Linked DNA regions of Coturnix japonica. The protein of the gene in region 2 interacts with the protein of the main gene of each other region in a biochemical or structural test. Links are inferred from orthologs where the notes say so. Each region holds a gene or a part of one and is shown on either strand. Other genes may lie near its edges.

Region 1 (3,500 bases), on a different chromosome or scaffold from region 2:
TTTCAGCTGTAACCTCTGAAAATAGACCAAGGTGCCTGTAGGAAGGGCTTTTAAAGAATAGATTTAGAGTTCAAGGTGAGAGATGCTAATGTATTTGGACTTTGCCAATTCCTTTGAGTTTCTCTTTTTCTTTTCCATTTCGTACACAGCAGATCTTTGCTGAAATAGCTTGAAGTTATTGGAGACTTGGAAAAAAGACAGAGGATTTTTCATTCACAGTTCACCAATTTCACTGCATCCTAAGCTGTAATAAAAGTCTCACATTTCTTAGCTTTACTCTTTCTGTGGTTAGTTTATAGCTTATTTTTGTCTTCGAGGCTTAAAATCTGGCACTTCTCATAAGCACTAAATTCATTTAGTCAAAGAGTTGGTGAGACGATAGCTGCCACACCCCTTAAAGAAAAAAACAACAACACACAAGAAACACAAAAGCAGCTTAAATAATTCTCTTCAGGGTGAGTCCTAGACTTCAGGGATTCCTGTCTGGACAAGTGAAAAGAATGTTTAGAATTCTTCTAGCAGAGCAGCAAAACACAGTACGTTCCCCGTGTGTCAAATTTTTGCTAAATCATGAAGGCCTTCCCTTACTGAAGGAAAATGAATAAAAGACACTTACTGAAGCAGCAGCCTCCAGGGCAGACTTTTCTCTCTGCTTGGTCTGAGCTAACATGGAAGTTTCCAGGAAGGAATAGAGAGTTAGCTATTTTACTTCCTGGATTCCCCTTTGTGGGTCTCTAATGACTTCCTCCTTTTTGTAGACAATTTTTTGGTCCACTGACATTGGCTTTTAAGGTTAGCATTAACTTACCTTAACTAAGCAAAAGCGCTTAGCTGGTTTATGATCTGAATGAGTTTCTGTCCTTCTCTTCAGAGTTTTAGTAATTCTCTTTTATGAATTTCATAATTGTCTCTTGTAATGATTTCTACAATATCAAGCATTTCTTCATTACTAAGTCTCCTCTGGACAAGGTGGCATCTGTAAGAGGGAAGTGCTTAGCTCTTTGTAGAAAACCTTTGTTCTGAAATGAGGCACTGCCCTTTGCTTACAGAAAGAAAAAAAGGGTTTGCTGAAACTGCTTTCTGGAGCATCCACTAAACGCAAGCCACGGTTGTCACCTCCATCGTCTCCAACTCTGGAAGTCGAGCAAGGAGCCACAGAGTTAGTTCTGCAAGGTGCAGTTGGGCCAGAGCTTCCATCAGCAGGAGGTCATAGCAGAGCTGGAACCTGTCCGACTGACTGCGAGATCTCTGGGCCGACACAGGAGATGTTGCAGCGGAAAACAAGTTCCCTGGATTCTGCTGTTCCAATAGCACCACCACCACGGCTGCCTTGCTCATCCCTGGGTCCAGTCTTGAATGAGTCCAGGCCTCTTGTCTGTGAAAGGTGAGTTATCCTCAGCCCCAAAACTTAGGAAAATCAATAAAAAATTGCACTCTGTGCTGTTCTCTATAAGAACTGCTAGCACTCTAATGTTTATATTTGTTTGCTTTCAGTTACTTTAAAGTTTTGGTGTAAATAGATAGTAAAATACAGTGATCTAGCCTTGGAATGAAAACTGAAGTAGGTCTCTTTTGCAAAACATTAACGTTACAGTTTTGTGCATAGGATTATCAAGTTAGACCTCCAGAATTATTAGCAGTATTTAACTACCAACCCAAATTGATGCTGAATAGGTAATTTATCTCTGTGTAACTTCTTAAACTGTTGCAGAGGTGCTTTTCCTACATGATTTCCTTGTTACTATGCACTCCGTATAGGAATTGTTAGGATAACCTCTACATCTTGACAAGTGAGACTAAAAAGCGCACAGTTGTTTCGTCCCTGAAGCAGCCAGGCAGTTACTTTAAAGTTCAATCACCTTCCTTTAGTGTCCACACAATATGTTCAGATTTCAAGGCCTTGGTAGGTTGCAGGAACTGAGAAGGAAGAGGCAGTTTTCTAACTACTGTTTCTTATTATTACCCCTGAAAATAGACAAGCAGGATGAAGACTGTTGAAGGATTTTTTTTTTTTTTTTTTTTTTCATGGTAGCTAAACACAGGGGGGAAAAAAACAGTAGGGTTGCAGTTTAATTGTTCTAAACTGAATCCTGCTGATGTGTAGTTTGTTCTAGTGCTACTAACTCATGATATGTGGACATAGCAGTGTACTTCGAGTCTCACTGATCTTAAGCTACATCTGTGTATTCAGAGCCAGACAGTATATACATCACTTTCTTTTATTTGACTTCTGTCATACTTTTAACATTATTTAAAAGTTTATTACTGTTTCTATGCAGTTTTCATTGAGGATACTTCTATCGTGTACTGAATTTCTGAAGTAGATTACTTGTAGATGGAAAATAAGAAAAGATTTTTCTTGAAAAATAATTATTTTCTCAGAATCATGATTCAGTTTGGCACAGTAGCATGTTCTTATGCTTTGAATACAACAATAATATCAAATTAATTATGATATGGCAATTGAGTATTTGTATAAAGCTATCTGCATCTTCACAGTCTTCCATGATGGAGACTCATTTCTTGGAACTACTTGTTGAGAATAATGCTGTGTACTTCTGTTAATCTAATAATAACATATATGGAGAAAATCCTTTTAATATAACTGTATTCTTCATATTTAGGGAAGTGATAATCACTACCAGAGAAGTACTACCACAAATTCGTTCTCTCTGCCACTTACACAGAGTTACTATATTTTATGTCAGTGTCTGTAAACAGAATTTCATAGGGATTCTCTTTGTGCTTTTCAGGGCAGGTTTAATACTTTTCTTGTTGATGTGCTCTTGTCTCTTTTTCTGTTTCCCTAGGCTGCATTACTTGTGTTGCTTAATAGAACTGTATACTTGTGGCTTACGCTGTACTCTGTTTTCAGAGAAAATTGTGAACATGAATCAGTGTTATTAGTTCTCGGGAGGGATGTGTAGAAAACTCACCATATCTTCAGTTAAAATTTTGGGGAAGGGGTGGAAAATATTAATGAAAGAAACCTCAAAAAGAGCTAGAGAGCAGAGAAATCTCCTGCTAATACTGTTCTGCTCTTACATATCACAATTCCAATCAGAAGCTACAGCCTGTCTGGGAAAAAACCACAACAGTACTCTATTCTGACTTTGGAGAATAATTATTAGTGTTCAAGTTCTGTTTTCAAAGTTGACAAGAGGATTTAGGAGTTATGTTCTGCATGAATAAGAAGCAAAAGTGCCTGAATCAACTCTGAAAAGCACTTGAAAATATTTCTCTGATTCTGAGTTTTCCCCAGAGTCTTGCCTTCGTTTAAAATATGGGAACGCATTCTTCATTGTAATCCCACTGTTTTTCCATTCAGTAAAATTGCCAAGTTCTCTTACAGTATATTTAATGTGTGTTCTGTAGAAATTTGAAGTAAAACTCAAACCACTAAAGAGCTTGTTTGCATTCATACAGAATAAATGGATTAACAGATTTGAGAGTACACAGGTTTTTTGTGGCATGGATTTGCAAATATATACTTCCATACC
Region 2 (4,006 bases):
ATTCCTTACTCTACTGGAGCAACATGACATTGCAACACAGGAAATAATTGGTTTAACAAACATTTGAAAATGAAGATTTCTGGGTTTGCTTACTGGGTACTTTGCAAAGATTCACTCCTTAAATATGTGCAGTAACAAAATAGTTCACAGTGTTTCTCCAGTTCCAATTATACATCTGATTTAAGGATTCACATCTATCACATTTTCTACTCAACATCTGTGATGTGCTAACACCATAAGCCATACTTCTAAAGCGAGTCATCTCCTGAGCTTACAGATCATTCACCCCACTTGTTTAAAGCCTGTCCTTCCAAGTAATCTGAGGACGGCGAGCCAGGAGTAATCCTTTATCTCCTGTAAAAAATGCTTTGCAATATCTATACTGACACCTTTTAAATGAGCGTGGAGAAGTACTGAAAATATAAATAGAGCTCTCTGCTGAGACAAGGAAAGCCAGAGCTCTCCTGCTGGGCTGGATGACAGTCTGCACAGAGCTGAGAAGCAGGCTGGAGAGCACAGGCCGCTAGTCAACCTGAGAGCCAGGCCATCTGCCAGCAGTCCATCAAGATGAGGAATGCCAACTGCATTTTGAGCCCTTAGCTGGGTTCTGCTACGGTGCACACACACTGCTAGACCCCAACAGCTATCGCTGTGCTTCCCTCAGATGACCACACAAAGGCCACACGCGGATCAAAGGGAAAAGGTCTTCTCCTTCCCTCCTACTACTACTCCTAGCAGTAACCCAAAGCATTTAGTTATCAAATTTGCAACTTGTTACTAGAATTATTTCAACCTTCTACAGCCCTTTTCTGTCATCTATCTTTCTCTCTTCTATTTCCTTTCCTCATCTTTCAAATTCTCACTGAGTTCATTTACTCCCCTCCAACTACGACAAGCAGCAATAGGATATTTAACTCCAACATTAAGATCAGTAGCAAGCATCAAAACAGCCCTCATTCAAGACTCATGAAGCTCGTTCCTAGATCTTCAACTCTGCAGCTGTGATACTTTCAAATATTACCTTACACATTCAAGACTGCAATACTAGTCAGGTTCAAGTCTTAGACCATACATAGCGCTGATGACCTCACGTATGCACAGCACAGGAGCTACAGAAACGGTCACCCATTTCAAGACTCAAAGGCCCTGAACTGTCTGCAGACATCCTACAGTGCATACCTGGACATAGACAGCCCAGAATATGCACCACCCTGCAACAGACAACACTGAAATATTCCAAGCAAGACTCTGCTGGAGAAAATCTAGACCATTTAGGTCTCTGCTTGGGGTATTCAGATGTCTATCCCCAGGGACAAGAGCAACATTCTCATACCATCCTCTATCTTGGAAACGAGCTTCATGCATTGCTCTAGGTTTTCCCTAAGAAGCTAAGAAAGAAGAAACAAGGGTGCTAAGAATGAAATGTATGGACTAGCTTGGCCAGAAAACTATCAAAACCTACAGCAAAATCTAACACGGACATATCAGCTTCACAACTCATCTCTCACCACATCTCTACAATAAACACCAGTTCTGCTATATCACGAGATTTCCTCAGACCTGAAATATATTCACCACTGTATGCTGCGCACCAAGGCAACAGGGCGACCAAACTCACTTCTGTAAGATTGACACGTTATTTTGCCTGTATTTCTGAGCATCAGTCACAGTTCAGCTGTTTTCATACACAAAAAAAATCTTGTTGAATTTTTATCCCATCTCCTCTAACATCTGCTATATAGATAGGTAGATATAGATATACTGACTTATATATATATATCTTTATTTTTTGCATCAGCTAGTTAACACATTGTGTTCTTGTGTTTTACAATGGTTGCCAACTTTGCAAGCTCAACCAAGAAGAGCTTTGCAGCATTATTGCAAGTTGTGACATTCATTCAGGTGGAAATGAAACAAGTGCTACCACTAACCAACTAATGAATCTTACTGGAATCGTTTAGTAACTTCAACAAGAGCAGTCGGTGAGCACCGATTTGAGATTGCAAACCACATACTGCAAACCGAGTAGGATCGAGGATGCCAACCCAGGAAGCATTCACATCGGCTACAGGACCAAATCATCAGCAAGACGAACTGCATTGCAACGCAGCTCCCTGCGCCTGTGCCGAGTGACTCCATGCGTTTGAGCCAGCCTGCAGTTCCCTCCGAGGTGTAGCTGGAAGTGGCCGAAGCCAAAAGCGAAGCCTGGCAGACACAGCTCGAGGCACATCAGAGCCGGCAGCTCGGAGCGCACGTAGCAGCCTTACACTGCGCCCGGAGCCGCCCGAGCCCCGAAGGGCCGCGGGACGCCGCCCGGGCGGGCACCGCGACGGGCACGGCCTCGCTGTCGCCAGCCGCCCACAGCACACCGGGACGCCCCGGCGGCTCCCCCGCCACCCGATCACGCCGCCGGGCCGAGCAGGGAGCGGCGGGGACGGGCGGGCCCGGCGCGGCGCCCCGCTCTCATTCAACCCCGCGTTGGCCGGGCCCGGCGGCGGCTCCGCAGGATGCGGGAGGCCTGGGAGCGGCCCTGCCCCGCGCGGCCACAGCTCCCGCGCACCGGAAGCGGCGCCAGGCCCGACCCTGCCCGCCGCGAGAGCGAGCCGCGGGTCGGTGCCTCGCGGCCCCGCGGGGCGGCACGCGTGGTTACCTTGATGATCCTGCGGGGCAGCCCGGCCATCTTGTCTCGTCGGGGTGCAAGATCGCGGGCTCGCCTCCGCTCGGGGCTCGCACACAGCCGGAAGTCTCCCGCTCCGCTCTTCCGGTGGCGCCGCCCTCGGCGCGGCACGTCGGGCAATGTAGGCCGCGCCCGCTGCCATTAAGGGGCGAGTCCTGCCCCGAGTCCCGCTGTGAGGCCGGAGCTCCGCGCTGACAGAGCTCGGATTTCATCAGCGTGGTACAACGTGTGTCAGCGAACAGTCACAGAGATGTCTCAGGACATGTCACCTTTGTGATACTAAAGGCTCGTTAGTCACGTCTCTTCCTCCTTGACAGGAAGGGAAATGTTGTAAAGATGAGGTGTTTTACATGGATGTTGTGGTGTTTTACATGGATGGTGTTACCTCCGCAGCATCCTGTGGCTCCCTACTACAGCTACGTAGCAACAGTAGCATCCAGCACCGTTGCTGAGCAGATGGGAAATGAAAGCACAGAAAGATGAAGCAGTTTCCCAGGAACAAGACCCTGCACGAACAATTCTCTGTCAATTGCTTTAGTCCTGGTTCACAAACAGGACATTTAGATCAGCTACGCCGTTTTCACACACTGGTAGAATGGACAGTTCTAACACTGGCAAATCTGGGCTGTGTAATTGCCAACATGCTCCTGTCAGAAATACTGCAAGCTTGATTTGTGTCCTAAGATAGAAACATTCTTATCAACCCATGGTGGTTACAATAACATGAAGCATGTCAGAAGTGCCGTGTCTCCCTCCTTATAATCAAGGAAACCGAATAGCCTGAGTCAGAAGGGACCCACAAGAATCAACTCCAGCTCCTGGCTCAACAAAGGACTACCCAAAATTCAAACCCTGTGTCTGCAAATATAGTCCAAATGTTCTTGTGCCAGTGCCCACCACACAGTGAAAGAACGTCCTAACTCCCAGCCAGACCCTCCCCTGATACAGTTCCATGCTGTTCCCTTGGGGCCTGTCACTGCCCCCCATAGAGCAGAGCTCAGCACTTCACCTCCACTCCCCATGGGGAGCTGTAGCTGCCATGAGGCCTGTCCTCAGCTTCCCCTAAGCCAAAATCTTCATCCTCCCCACATTGCTTCCCAAAAACTTACCAAATTTTCCTTCTCTATCTTTTGAGAAGGCTACTAAAAGGTACATAGTTGTTCTACACAACTTGATCTCCTCAGCTGTTGAATACACCAGTAATTACAAACTTTTCATATCAACTCATGAAAAACACCAGCCCTGTGCATTCTTGTACACACGTTTGGCCCTTTAAACGCTAAATTGTTCTCCTAACATTATGGGTGTAACTTTCTGTGAAATCGATGA

Evidence for each region. The genes of interacting proteins can lie anywhere in the genome.
Region 1: the proteins of UBE2N (region 2) and SH3RF1 form a complex in vitro, tested with the Homo sapiens proteins (2 studies listed by BioGRID). The link is inferred for Coturnix japonica from reciprocal best matches to the Homo sapiens genes UBE2N and SH3RF1.

What each region holds. Positions count from the first base shown.
Region 1 is NC_029519.1:22,337,541-22,341,040, forward strand, and holds part of SH3RF1 (E3 ubiquitin-protein ligase SH3RF1), read left to right. Parts: intron 1-1,049; coding exon 1,050-1,384; intron 1,385-3,500. UniProt on the Homo sapiens protein: Has E3 ubiquitin-protein ligase activity. In the absence of an external substrate, it can catalyze self-ubiquitination. Stimulates ubiquitination of potassium channel KCNJ1, enhancing it's dynamin-dependent and clathrin-independent endocytosis.
Region 2 is NC_029516.1:40,865,294-40,869,299, forward strand, and holds the start of UBE2N (ubiquitin-conjugating enzyme E2 N), read right to left. Parts: upstream 2,801-4,006; 5' UTR 2,681-2,800; coding exon 2,651-2,680; intron 1-2,650. UniProt on the Homo sapiens protein: The UBE2V1-UBE2N and UBE2V2-UBE2N heterodimers catalyze the synthesis of non-canonical 'Lys-63'-linked polyubiquitin chains. This type of polyubiquitination does not lead to protein degradation by the proteasome.